Styela clava: one gene and its partner. The protein of the gene in region 2 purifies or fractionates together with the protein of the main gene of each other region. This does not show direct contact. Links are inferred from orthologs where the notes say so. Each region holds a gene or a part of one and is shown on either strand. Other genes may lie near its edges.

What was found.
Region 1: the proteins of negative elongation factor D-like (region 2) and negative elongation factor E-like purify together in Homo sapiens (affinity purification with mass spectrometry; 9 studies listed by BioGRID and IntAct, counting the BioPlex papers as one, with this or other methods). This does not show direct contact. The link is inferred for Styela clava from reciprocal best matches to the Homo sapiens genes NELFCD and NELFE.

The regions. Positions count from the first base shown.
Region 1 is NC_135250.1:12,754,286-12,760,819, forward strand, and holds negative elongation factor E-like, read right to left. Parts: upstream 2,316-6,534; 5' UTR 2,309-2,315; coding exon 1,379-2,308; 3' UTR 514-1,378; downstream 1-513. Other genes in the region: drebrin-like protein B, read right to left, coding at 3,322-4,929. UniProt on the Homo sapiens protein: Essential component of the NELF complex, a complex that negatively regulates the elongation of transcription by RNA polymerase II.
Region 2 is NC_135263.1:11,076,126-11,084,088, reverse strand, and holds the start of negative elongation factor D-like, read right to left. Parts: upstream 3,021-7,963; 5' UTR 2,912-3,020; coding exon 2,858-2,911; intron 2,010-2,857; coding exon 1,894-2,009; intron 984-1,893; coding exon 874-983; intron 26-873; coding exon 1-25. Other genes in the region: fasciculation and elongation protein zeta-2-like, read right to left, coding at 5,983-7,266. UniProt on the Homo sapiens protein: Essential component of the NELF complex, a complex that negatively regulates the elongation of transcription by RNA polymerase II.

The DNA of each region.
Region 1 (6,534 bases), on a different chromosome or scaffold from region 2:
GCTATGCAAATCCTTCATAGAAATCCAATAATTCCAACCGCAAAACATCAGTACATAAATTTAATGCAATTATTTTTATTAATTATAAGCACAAATTGATAGTTGTAAGACGTTTTATAATTTTTTACAAGATTCATAATAATAGTCATAATCAGATAATATAAAATGGAGATTGAGATGAAATTGTGAAAGATTCCGGGACTCCGATAAGGCCCTGATACCGTGTTGACGCAATTGCCCCACATTAGAGGAGTATGTCTTGACCACCAGATTGGCGTCAGCGGCGTTGTCTTGTACGACTTTGAGAGCTGTATCGCTCGATATGTTCAATTGGACGCTTGCTTTTCCAACTGCCTGCCTGGCTTTGATGTCGCAGCCAATGTCATCCTCGGTTCATCATGCCGACGGTTGTATTAAATGAGCACTTGTTATATCGTTGATATGACTTGACCCGACCTCTGTCTCTGCGATAAAGCCATATTGCATACACATGACGTTCGTATGAAACGGTAGTCTTAGTCGAAAATCAAAAACTTTTATTGCAGTTATATTTTTATTGATTTCAACACTAACAAAAAACGAAAAAACGGACAGTGCCAACAGGAGTAAAATTAAATTAAAATTTCTTAAGCTATAATAAATAGCTTATTAATAATAGTGTGTCATTTCTATCAAAATTTCAAAAGATAAACATGGGAGACTCATTCATGACTACATCATTCAATCTTAACTAGAGCCTGCTCCAAAACTTGGACAATATATTCTGACTCAAGGAGTAGAACGATTCTGGCCAGGAGGATGTTGTAAAAAAAAAAAAAAGTCAAAAGGTAATAGGAATTTCAGTAATAATAAATATAATATATGGCAGTTGCAAGTGTTAAAAAAATTGATAAACATGGACATCCATGCTCAACTTAAAAATTTGTGATTATAAAAAAATAGCCCATACAACACAGATTTTTAGAAAGAACATTTTTGTGAATTTCAAATATACGATCCAAACGAGGCGTGAAATAAAGGACCAGATATTTGGTATCGGTGTAATGTCTAGTAATAGTATATAAGCCAGGGGTGTGCAACCTTTAATACAGGAGGGCCACATTCAAATGACGGAGGGTAAACCGTGGGCCGCACCTTTATTTATCTTAAGCTTTAAAGTAGTTGCAAGCACAAAATTTTTGGTTAATAATCTTTATGACATGCGTTGTTCGCTTTGCATTGTATCGTATCGGAATTACCCACAGGTACCAGATTAAACTAAATTAAAAACTCATTTCCCAGGCTGCACACACTTCAAAATCGGCACGTCTCCGCAGGCTGCACAATTTTTCCTTGTGGACCACAGGTTGCACACCCCTGCTATAAGCCATAGAAAATCTTAGCTTGAAAACATATCATCATCATCATAAACTACGAGCGCTCTTTTTTCTCTGCGATTTGTAGGACCTTTATCACTTTGGGCAACGACTAAAGGAGCCCATAACGATGAAGACATTGCAGATTCCAGCATTTTTTGTCGCCTGGCAAGAGATACTTTCAATCTTGTTCCTTCAACCATCGCATCATTCATTTTATCGATGGCAACATCTGCTGCTTCTAGGGAGTTGTACGTTATGAAAGCACTCCGTGCATTTTGTTCAATGTCTATTTTAATAATTTTTCCAAAACCTTGGAAATGACTTTCAAGCAGTTTTTCTGTTAAATCACAACCATGAATATAAATTGTGTTCCCTTTTCTTGGTGCATGTCTCTCAAATTTACGTTCCCTTTTTACTTTTTTGGGGCTTTCTTTGCGATTTTGCACAATTTTTTTTGGTTGATTGTTATTGCTCTCAATAGCGTTAGACTGATCTTTTAGTGACATATCATCACCTTGGTCTGATGAACTGCCCGTTCCACTGCAAGGACTGAATGGCTGAAAAACAGGTTTTTTCATCACTTCGTCTCGTTTTTTCTTGGATAACGAGCGTTTAAAGGTAGTTTTTGTTTTAACTTTGACCTGTATTGCACCCGATTTAATAAGTTTTTTAGCAGCTTCAGTATTAGCTGCAGCGTTTAAGGAAACGTTTTTGATATTAGCAACAGCGTCTTTTCGCTCTGGAATATTACACTTCAATATTGAGTCTGATGCAGACTTCATAAGCCCCTTTTTCTGTTTAGCCTTTGTTGGGCCATTTTCTGCAGCTTCATTTTCCTGTTGTTTGCGCTTCATACGAAGCTGCTGTAACTCTTTCTTCTTCTTACGTAGTACAGTATATTTTTTCTTTAAAAATTCTTCTTCATCCGTTAGCTTTGAAGAAAATGTCATAATGAAGTCTTTATTTTAAGATCTAAATTAAGACATAATCGTTACATTTGAATATATGTATAAACTAAATGCAGTTTGGTAAAGACACAAATGAGGGAAATTGCTTTCCCTATTGGAATACGTTGAGTGAGGATTACAAAAGCAAATATATATAACTTGATATCATCTTATATCAGTTTCAATACAAATGATATTCATTAGGTAAGCTCACAATCAAATGATATGACCTTGGATTCAATTTGCATGAAATAAGAATATTGACCGAGTAAAGTATGACATAAATCATGATCTTATCTGCCTAAAATATAGCCAACAATTAATTATTCTAATGGAGGACAGAAACAAATTAAAAATTGTAGAAGCATATTGTTATATACTGAATGTTTTTTGATTGAAAAAAAAAATAGATATATTACAAGCAAACATTGTCTGACAGGATTTGAAAAAACTGTAATCAAAAAAAGAATGAAGTTCAAGTCTATTTTTGATTTTCGATTAAAACAACTATGAAATAATAGTGTTTTATAATTGGATACAACAATAACAAAGACAGCCAGATGTCAAAAACTGCATTAGAAAAATAATTAGGCGCAGGTAACATTGTTTATAACAGATAATAATACCATTATAGTTTATATGACATTCAGGTAAAATATATAATTAAAACTAGATTGAATTAGCCAACCGAGCTTTGATACAGCCATAGTTATTTATTAATAAATGATGCAACTATCTCGCCTAAGTAAAGTGATTGTTAACATTGAGAAGCAAAATAGCAAGAACATGTGTAGCCCGCTAGTTGGTGTTCATGTCTTAGTATAATATAATCTTGCGTGGATATATTATTGTGACTCATGCTTATTTACAAATATTTCACTTTCAAGATGCATTAGTATGTTTTCACAATACTCAATGTCAAAAAAACACTTGGTGATTGGATTGGTCCTATAAAGGCATGTTATAACTTAGGCAGCATCACAATAAAGAATATATTCTTTGGCAATTGCAGTAATTTACTCTGTAATAAGCTCCACATAATTAGCTGGAAAAAGTCCATACTTTCCATCTGGTGTTGAACCTCTCCACCATCCTTCATCAATCATTTCAATGTTAGTGATGATATCGTCTGGATCAAAAGTAATTTCGGAATCATCAGCAGCTTGATAATCATAAAGAGCTCTTGCTGAATGTGGACTTTTAATATCTTCATCATTACTTTCCCCAGGATTTTCTCCTACTGCATCATATATATTATCTTGTGCCCCTTGACCTTCGTCCTGTTGATTATGGCCCACTGCATCATAAACATTATCGGAAGTTTTATGACCTTCTGCTGCTTTTGGAGCAGATTCCAAACGCTCGACATAATTGAGAGGAAAAAGTCCAGAGTGTCCATCAGGGGCCACACCTCTTCCCCATGCCTCGTCCATATCTTCAATATCAGTGATAATATCATTGGGATCAAAACTGATCTCGGTCTCATCAACAGCTTGATAATCATAAATAGCTCTTGCTGAATATCCACTCTTATTTGCTTCCGCATCATATTTTGTGGGTTCCTGCTTATTGTCCACAATATTGTTATCGTTATTCCGAGTTTCTTCTTCGAATGTTTCATATTCTGGTTCTTCAACATCAGCCGGTTGATATGTTTCAATTGGTCTTTCGCCTTGTTTCGAGGGCTGCCTTTGAATAACAGGTTGACTTGAAGGAGTCGCTTCATTTATTTTTTGTTCCCATAAAGCACGCATATTAGTGTCTCGTTGTTGCACAAGATGCGCTGCTTCAGCTGCTTTCTCTATAGATTCACTTCTTTTTCTTCCCCGTTCTTCATGTGCTTCAAATTCACGTTGTTCTGCTTCCCATTTTTCTTTCTCTCTTTTACGAACATCAGCAGTGTCGTCAGTAAGTTTTGCAGCTCTTACTTTCTCACTAATTTCTTTTTCTCTTTCTTTTTCCCAATTTTGTCTTCTCATGCTTGACTCTTTTTCCCTTTCGCGAACTTCTTGAGCATATCTATTTTTCTCTTCTTGCGCCTTTCTCAATTCTTGTTTTTTCCTTTGCTCTTCTTCCCTTTCTTGCTTTTCCCAATAATTCTCATTTCTTTTGGAACTTATTTCTGCACCAGGATTTATCTTTTTATATACTGACCCAACAGGCTCAGATGGATCATCATATGAACCTTTTGTCTTGTCAAATGCATATGTAGACGCGGATGCACGATTAATATGCTCCATGATTTGCTCTGGGGTAACATCATCCTCGTTTCGAGCATTGATAGTAATGTGAGCTCCTTTAAAAAATCTTTCCACATCCCTAACATGGTTGGCACAAGCACCTTTCCTATTTGCAGGAGCACCTTCACCTTGCCAATGCAAAAATATGAACTTGTTGAGAGAAGTTTTTGGATCTTTAACTCGAATAAAAGCATACATGATCTTGGAACTATTAAATTCAGTTTCTAATTCTTCCAAGCCATCTTCTCCAGTACCTGCCACCTTCAATTCATTATCTTTACCTTCATACGTGAAAAGAGCCCAATCTGTGTCCGATTTTTCATCAAGAACCTCTTTGTAGGTATTGATTAACGCCTGTTTGTGTTTAAAAAAACTGACACTCATTTTTAATAAACAGCTGGATGAAATCACAAAGCAACACTAATTTTTGGTACACATATATATATTATATACAATCCAAATTCAAAGCTGAAATCCAGTCACGCTACTGCACTATTTTTGATATTGAATGTTATATTAGAATTTATTTATCACTCGATACAACATGTTATATTATCGAAGTAGAATGTGTGAAGAGGCAAAATAAAAGCTTAATCAAAACAGCCATATGAGATTCTAGGATTCAGACATCGCAGCATTGGGCTGGTGTGTGTCTGATACAAGACTTTGTTGGTGCCATAGTCACAGCAAGTGCAGAAGTGTCAGTACTTGAAATGAGTCAAAACTTTTTATGCAGTTAATGAGAAAATCCAAATCAGTATATACCGGGGGTCTAGTATAGTTTAGTACCACAAGTACTTCCAGTGGGCGTAGCATAACGATTTTAACGAGGAATAACATATGAACCCTCACCTGACTATGCCATCCAAAAATTACGTCACTACGACGTCACCATCACGTCATAGGGATTGCCAAAGTATAATTACGATCGCCCGAAATGGCATCTGCGCCACCGATAAGAACTTGCTAAAGCCGGCAATCTCTCTCCTATCGTGATCGTTGCGATGAGAAAACGAGAGAAATAGCTTGCTCGATTTCGGGTTATCGTCTGCGCGTTTTGGACGACCATCCGCATATATCGGTGGGCCTTACTACAGTATTACGCCACTGTGAAACCGGTAGGACGTAATTTTTCGGTGAAGTAGTCAGGTGGGGGTTAGGATTGACATATGCAAAAAGTGTTGAGCCAGGCCAACTAGAAGTGGATGTGGTACTAAACTATACCAGACCCTATACCGGTACCTGACTACCTGTTACTGTGTTATGGTCACCCTAATATTACAGTATTAGGGCTTCTTATCCCAGCATACATCTCACCATTTTCCCAACACTCAAGACACTAGGATTAAACTGGTTGATTCAGTACCGCGAATACAGTACTGCTGTAATATTAGTTGCATTGATAGATGATGAGGTTTATTTTGAACCCCGTCGTAGTAACCGTACCGGTACAAAAATCGCAACACACAACTACACATTTACACAATCAAAGTCCAGAAGTCGGGCGGGGAATGTATATTGACCATCGGACTAAAGCAATCCTGTTTCTTCAATAATAAAACGATATTGTATTACCGGTCCCGATATTTATTACGGTATTATATTATATATACTGATATATCACTGTATTACCGGCACCGATATTTATCACGGTATTATATTGTATTACCGGCACCAATATTTATCACGGCATCTCAGACTCAAACCCTACGTACGCTCAGGCGCTTGTGAAATTCGGCCACATTTTAGAGCTAAGTTAGTGTTTTGGAATCAGTAATCAGTAGTTTATTTTCTCACCATACTGAAAGCACACTTGACAACAGCAATTTTTACTCCATAAGTCAATATACTATTATATCGGTACCTTACAGACTTCTCGTTCACCAGTTACGGGTACAATAAGGGTATCTATTTCCCAGATTATAAACCATCTAGCCACCTGAGCACAGCCGACGCCATTACTGAACAAGATTAATTTAATTATTATCG
Region 2 (7,963 bases):
TCTTGTACTTCTGTAGGAGCTAAACCTATTTTAAAAATATGGATAATTTTGTAACAACATTAATGAACCATAGAACTTTAAAACTGCGCTTGGAATTAACGTTATCCATAAATCAAAAAGATTGTATTAATAATATTTTGCAATGAAAGGTAAAAGGTGTGGGATTGCATCCAGCCAATTACTTACCGAATGTACTTTTTTTTTAATTTTTTTTGAATAAGAAAAACAATTAATTCTTCAAAACATGTTTTATTTTCGCTGCTTTTTTATATCTCCATAAATGGAAAAATCGTTTTACAAGCACTATGTCACATGGTTCCGAACAAAGACAAATACAAGCTTCTACTAATCCCCATTAGGCTGCTAGGCTTGGAATGACTGAAAAGTATCATTCATAATCAGTTACCAAATAAATGAGTATGTAGAAAATAGTAAAATTTATACATGTCTGTCAAAAATGTACCTTTATTTGTATCATTTTCATTTGTACGATTTCAAACATGTAGCAAATCTCATAGTATCAATGCAAGAAGGCACAGAGTTTTCCGAAAAGATCGGCAAGCATACAATATGGAAGCAGTTGCACAATATGGGATAAAAACCGTTCCCATTTAATTAAAGCAAACAGTTCCTCGAAATATCAAGTCACATGGGGCTTGGAAAATAAAAGCATTAACCTTATAAGGACTACTTCCATTTTTTAACTCGATGCTTGCATTAGTTGCGAAACTTCCATATGTACGCGTCATGTCCCAAAATAAAAAGTTAACCACAATTATATAACTGCGTCTACCCACTTAATTAACTTTTAACACTAATTGTTTACAAGAATATGGTAGATACATAGAGCATGAATGCATTACTAAGACTTACCACACATAATCAACCATTCAGCAAGAAGATTGACAGTTTGTGCAACAGCAGTATAATTATCAGACAATAATTCAACAACTTTTTCTGGCATCCCTCCTGCTTGGAAATACCTAAAATCCAAGAGAAATATAAATAATTGTGAACATGATAAAGAAAAAAGGGTGCTCCTGAAGTATGCGAACCAAGATGGCAGACATCGGAATGTAGCATGGGTAACAGGTTAAGGTTAGGCCATAATTTTATTCCAATTTTCCTTATTTTAGTCCTATTATGAGTTCGAAGAGTAGCCAAGTGCCTCCCGTAGTATTTGTATCTAAAATTATGGCCTAACCCTAACCTAGTACACATATTACATTCCGATGTCCGCCATCTTGGTTCGCATACTTCAGGAGCCCCGAAAAAAGTATTGATGTGAGTGACATCCAAATTTTGATGTTATGGCTCTCAATATATTTCTGTGAGATGTACAAAACAAAGATTCAAATTTTGAATACCTCCAAAATCAATAATTTTTAATATAGAAAGTTATGCATTAATTATGCATATGTTAGAATGTAAATTCATAAAAAATATTAAGCATCAACATCCGACAGAGAATTCAAGCCAAGTTAACAGCAATGTTAATTTTTTACAATATGCTATTCAAGAATACAACAGCAATTTGAGCAACTCTCTCTTAAACATTACCCAATTTAGGATATATTCTATTACAAAAATTTTAAAACTTTTTCAAAAAAAATTCTGGCCTTTTCAAATCCTTTGTATACCATAAGTTTCAATACTCTAATTTATATTAAAGGCGCAAACAGTCGATAACTAAACCATATGAAAAACAACAGCCTTGTGTCCAATCATTATTACGATGGCGTGTATATCAATAAATAATAAAGAGATCTCCATTGTTATATTATTCCTTTATATAGAAAATTTATCAATTATATCAGTTGAAAATTGAAACCTATAAAAAATAAGGCTAAAAAAACATGGACATAGGTATTCATAAAGTAAATAATATCTTGCCCTTTGAGAGTGTTAAAAATGGAAGGCTCCATGATATAATCAGTACTTGCTAAATTTTTCAAACATTCATTTCGTGTTGCTTCCATATCATCACCAATCTCAGCTTGGGCACCAACCTAGGAAAAAGTAAAACCCATTTTGACCATTTATTAGAAAACGAAACTAATAAATCAATATTACCTGTTAAGATCAGATTCAATAAATCAATACTTTCTACTTTGCAAACAACCAAAGTCTACAATATTGATGACCAATAAAAACAGTCTCCAATTTTTGGTGTGCTTCACAAGAAGCTATACGACTGCCAATTTATTTTGAATTTTATCAAATGTTAAGTCTGAACAAGGCTCAGAACAAGCAGCCAGGAACGGAATCTTTCCAATTCTACTTTGCGTATTCAATATATTACACCCTGGGTGAGATTGTGGTTATGGGTTTTGAACTTAAGATACTTGACAGGCACAAAAAAAAATTAAAATAATTTCGAAAAGTTAGATGTAACTTGCTTACGTTACCAGAAAGAAGATATCTACAATATAATAATAATATTGAGTACCTGTTATCTCAAAAGCAAATCATAATTTCCAAAAACTATTTAATTTAATTGGTGAATATGCAATTAAATAGTTGCATATATAGCAAACATTACACAAATATCTTTATTTTGATAACAGATTCCCACAAATAATTTGTCCTGTACATATTATCAACTATTAAAAAAAAAAACTTGGTACTTCAATACCCCACAATATTTAGGTTGTTCTGTGTAAATATTACCACATATTCAGTTGAGTCAAGAAATAAAAAGGACTTTTCAATTGTTTGAATACCGAACAGGAATTAGGCTATTATATTCATTGCAAAAGAAATACAGCAAGATAGTCTAAATTAGAATTAATAAAAACATTTTTTTTGCAACAATATATTTTATTGAATCATCTCCAATGTGATCTCTGCTACTTACTCCTTCGGCCTGATCATCCCATGCAGCTTCATCTTGGTTATCTTCATCTTCCATATTTATTTTGAGATATTTAAATCCAAATTTCTATTTTAAGAATATTGTTCTAACTTATGACATAAAACATTGTGAAAAAATTGAAAACAATTATTAAATGAAGTCATGAAGATCAAACAATACAGATGAAGATATAAAATTAGCAAAAATAGGAAAAGTAAAAATTGTTGACACTGTATGGGGCATTGACATATGATAAATATAGAATACGGTACTAATTAAAAGTGTACCATCTCGAAATTATTCTGATTTTTGGATAATCGCTTCTGTGTTCATACTGATAATAATACAAATCAGAAAAATAGTAATAATGTTGGGTCACTTCAAGGCAAGATTTCCCGGTTTTAACATCTTTCTGGCAATTTCGAAGCAATACTACACCAAAAAAACACATGGGACACTGGCTGCTACAAAAATTATGCTCTTACTCATGAGAACTTTTTCTAGAAATTATTAGCATAAATTAATTTAAAACACATGAAATTTTAAAATGGGTATAAATTATGGTTACATGCCTAACATAAACAATTTCTAGTGGAACATCGAAAAAATGTATCAAATCCCGAAATTATGTTGTGACTTGTACTAAAAATTTAAAAATGATTTTCTTGATATTTATTCGACAAAATATAATATAACTAATTATAATGATAAATAACAGCACCCTCAATAAAATGCTATAATAACCCAACAGTGGATACTCTAATATGACTAGAAATCAATTTGATGTTGACGAATAATATACTACAGAATTTTTGTATAACAAAATATGAATTGTACTAAAATAAGTTATTTTAACTGCTCCTATAAAAAGTTGCCTTCTCAATTTATTAACAATATTTGATATTATATATCTATTCTGAGTATTAAATATTTATATAGAAAATACGCGATAAAAATGGTCCTTATTTTAGTTAGGGCAAGTCAAACATGAACAATCTATTCATATCAAGTATGATACAAACATAGTATAAAATGGGACTGTGTGGCCACAAACTAGAACTGGGCAAGTAAAAAGAGCAAGTGATAATTAATACAATAATTAATATAATTTACTCATGCAAACATCAATTATTAAGCAATCACAAGAAGTGTGAAAAAAAAGTAGTAATGTTTTTGAAGAAAAATGAAGAGTAGTAAAGTGTCTTGGATGAAAATTATAACAGTTAGTATTTGCTGATAAAATACCATAATCAATAGAAATGACAAAAATTAAGAACAGACAGAAAACTATTTGTTTGAATATTGAGTTTGAAAAAAAACATGAACCTATTTAAAATCAGTGTGCAGTGCAGGATTAATATGAATTTCCAAAAAAGATTTGGGAATATATACTGGTATATATAATCCAGTCTTAGCGACTGAAAATAATAAACTCAGGAGATGTTCATTATACAATAGATTGATATTTTTAAATCGCTGCCTACATTTAATTCATTGTTCAAACGTTTACCGAGATATTCATATTTAATAGTTTAATTTTCTAGAATTCTTTTTCAGATAAAACCTTGATTTATAGGAAAATTGTAGCAAAATTTTTGTAGCAAATCATGATATATGCAATTGGAGTTATAAAATCCCACATAAAACTCTAAATACAGGAATCTGGTTGCACACCTCAAGTCTAGAAAGGACAATTTTTACAGAGTACATATTTTTGCTCGTGAAGAAGTGTCAGCAAAAAAAATAAATTGTATCATTAAAGAACATGTTTGACAATAGGTTGAGATTACGATACTGTTAAATATATAATGATAATTGAATTCTACAGCAGGCACCACTGTTGCAATTACTATGTTGACAAAGAAGTGAATTACAGAGTTATAAAAACCTGATAAACAGCTCAATCGAAACTAATATTCATTAACACTGAGAATAATTAAATAACAATCAATTGCAGGTAAAGCATTTAACAAATTAAGTATTATTAACATCATACACACACGGCACCCCTTTAAAAATGTACAACAGTGTCGCCAGCTTTTGTTTTAAATTTATTATTGAAATTATTATGAAATCAATTAAGTATACAAAGAATTTGTTCCGGCACAATGTGGCCAAGTAGTCAGTATGTCTGTCTGATTATGTTTGAATATTAAGTTATGCCCAGTGGAGTATGATTTGAGGTATATTCCTACAACACTTAACATACACAGAAGTATATGAAATATGAAAAAAACGTTTCACTTGACAAATTAATTATTGTAGTAGTAGCAACAAAAAGTCCCATCCACATCCGATCTTTTTACCAATACTGCACTAAAATTACTCAATACTGATATTGAAAAAGCGTCAAGATATGGCTTGAAAAGTGTAATAACCTTCATACAATTATATTTTATTAACTACCATACTTTACTAAATAAAATGTACCGATTTAAAAAATTTATTTCTAACGGGTTATCTTGCATAATGATTTGACGGATATAAAATGAAGAATTCAATAAAAAAAGATTCTGGCAAAGTGAATAATGTTATGGGAACAAAGCAAAGATAAATAACAAAATAATAAAAGTTAAACCTATCATGAATGACTAACTGGCAAGCAATGTAAAGTTTTGTAGCAATTGCAAATTCATAATTCCTTATAACATAGGTAAATTTAGCACACTGCTGCAGAGAGATATCCAAATAACTCCAGAATTTGGTTATGAAAGCGGAAAGCGTCAATATATAATATATAACGTTGAAAAATCAATTTATGTCACAAAATATTGTCTTATTTGCGATACTCTATACATTACAATATTGATACTATGACGTACCCCCAAAGTATGCCAATTTAAACTGAGTAGAGGGCGATCACAACACAATTAAGACTGTTAATTTCATAATGGAGCATCACTATATTGATTACCGGTAACTGCAAACTAATTAATACATCTTTAGGAACATTATCATTGAGTGGGACAAACTACACAAAAATTTGACCATGAAGCTGATCAAATAATAGAATTACCAATAAAATAACACAATTTGAAATGGACGAACTTGGAATAACTTTTCCTAGGAAAAGCTGCATTGAAAAGTCAAATAAATAAATAACCATGCGTCATTTGAATTGCGGCATCTTATAAAGTCAAAGTGCGTGCGCTTGTCGGTGCCGGAACTAATACTTTCAATATATAGTTGGTTATCAACGACGGCACTTCTTCACTATCTGCTTTGATGGCATCTAGTAATTTAATAAGAGCCTGAAGACCCTCTAGTGGAGGAACACCACCTTCGTCAAAAGGAATTACAGTAGTGAGAAATCTCCCAGGAGAGGATGACACTGATGCATTTGACATGCTGAAACTTTTTGACAATTTCCCTAACTTGAATCTGCTAGAATGCGCTTTATCATTCTGCTGAAATTGTTCCTGTTTACGTTGAACTTCTAATATTTTGGAAATAAATGTGTTACGAACTTCTTTCTCGTATAAAAGCTCATCGCGAAAATTTAACTGATTCAACAAATCTTCTGAAAGAAACTTGACAGTACTTTCCAAGCTACACAGCTCTTCATTTAATTCCGCAATTGACATTTGTTTCAGACTAGACGCTCTGTCACTTTCCTCCTGACTGGATGGCGATCCCAAGTTACGTCCATAAATTATACTGCTCTCGTCACTCATCAGGTCGTTTTCAATTGAAAATGCATCTATGCTTCCATCAGTATCAGCAATGATAATTCCAGTTTGTTGTTCCAACTCGTCGTCAAATGCTGCGTCCTGCTCATCTGCATCCAACATAATTTCTTCTAGTTCTTGAATGACTTCATCCGCAGATTGTAATTTCCCATTTCCAGTTGTTTCAGAATTCTGACAAGACATTTGATAAGGCTCACATTCTGAGTATACATTATACTCAATTAATTTGTGAAAATCCATTTGATTTTTAAGCTCATTGCTTTCAAATTCTGAATATCCATCGAGATCTTTTTCTACATTGCTTTGGTCTGATATGTTGAGATCCAGAGCAGGAATGTGTAATTTACGAATTTGTGAACTACACCAATCCAATGGTTTAACTAATCCATAGTTATCAGTGATCGACTTCCAAATATCATTGTAGTCTAAAATATCATTTAATGTTTGTAATGGTTTTACAATTTTATCATTGTTACTTGATTTATTTTGTATCTTAAAACATTTTGAAATCTTCTGCTCAAACTTTTTAACCAAATCTTCCATACTTCCATAATTCTCTGCAACGTTCAATGTTGTGCAATTATTCAGACCTTGCGTTATTCCATTTCCAAAAGAATTGAAATAATCATCACTGAAGCAATCCTCCTTTTTTCCATCACATGAAAATGAATTTGATGAAAAATTTCCCCAATCATCCTCAGTTTCTGCCATAGGGGCAGTCATTTTATAGACTAAAAACTGAAAAATAAATCAAACTGGAATAAGAAAAGAGGAAAGGCCAGGACAAGAAAATGTTCACATTTATCAGCATATCTCTGGTCTCAGGGTCTCTGTATATCATATATTATCTGTATATCAGAATATTAGTTCTTCGATTCCAAGAATAGCCCCCACATTGAAAGACATCAAACAAACAGTAAGTGTAAACCCCTTCTTTTTTGAAGAATCCAATGGTGATGTTTTCATGTCACAAATTTAAAAAACGAATATAGTCTTTTTGCAGTTGACAAGTGGTCCTTAAAGAATAATAAACAAACTCCTAACTCAATACAGCAATATCAGAATATGAGGACATGTCTTACAGTCTTATGACATACAGATGTCACCTCATGGCCCTAGGCTATGTACGGTAATTGCATAGGCGGTAATTGCGCGGCGGAGTGGCTCAACGGGCTAAGCGTTAGGAATACGCTCGCCACCGCACCTCTAATTACTCTGCGTGGGTTCGCAGGTTCGAATCCCATGCAGGGATGGTTATGTGCGTGAGGATTGCTGGACTCCTCGCCGTCGTTGGGTGGTTCACGTAACCGCTGGTCGGTTACGGCTTCCTCCACCACCAAGTCCATGCTTCCGAAAACAAACAATACAACTAATCCCATACCCGACTTGGAATGGTAACCGGACGAGAGGCCGTGGTTCG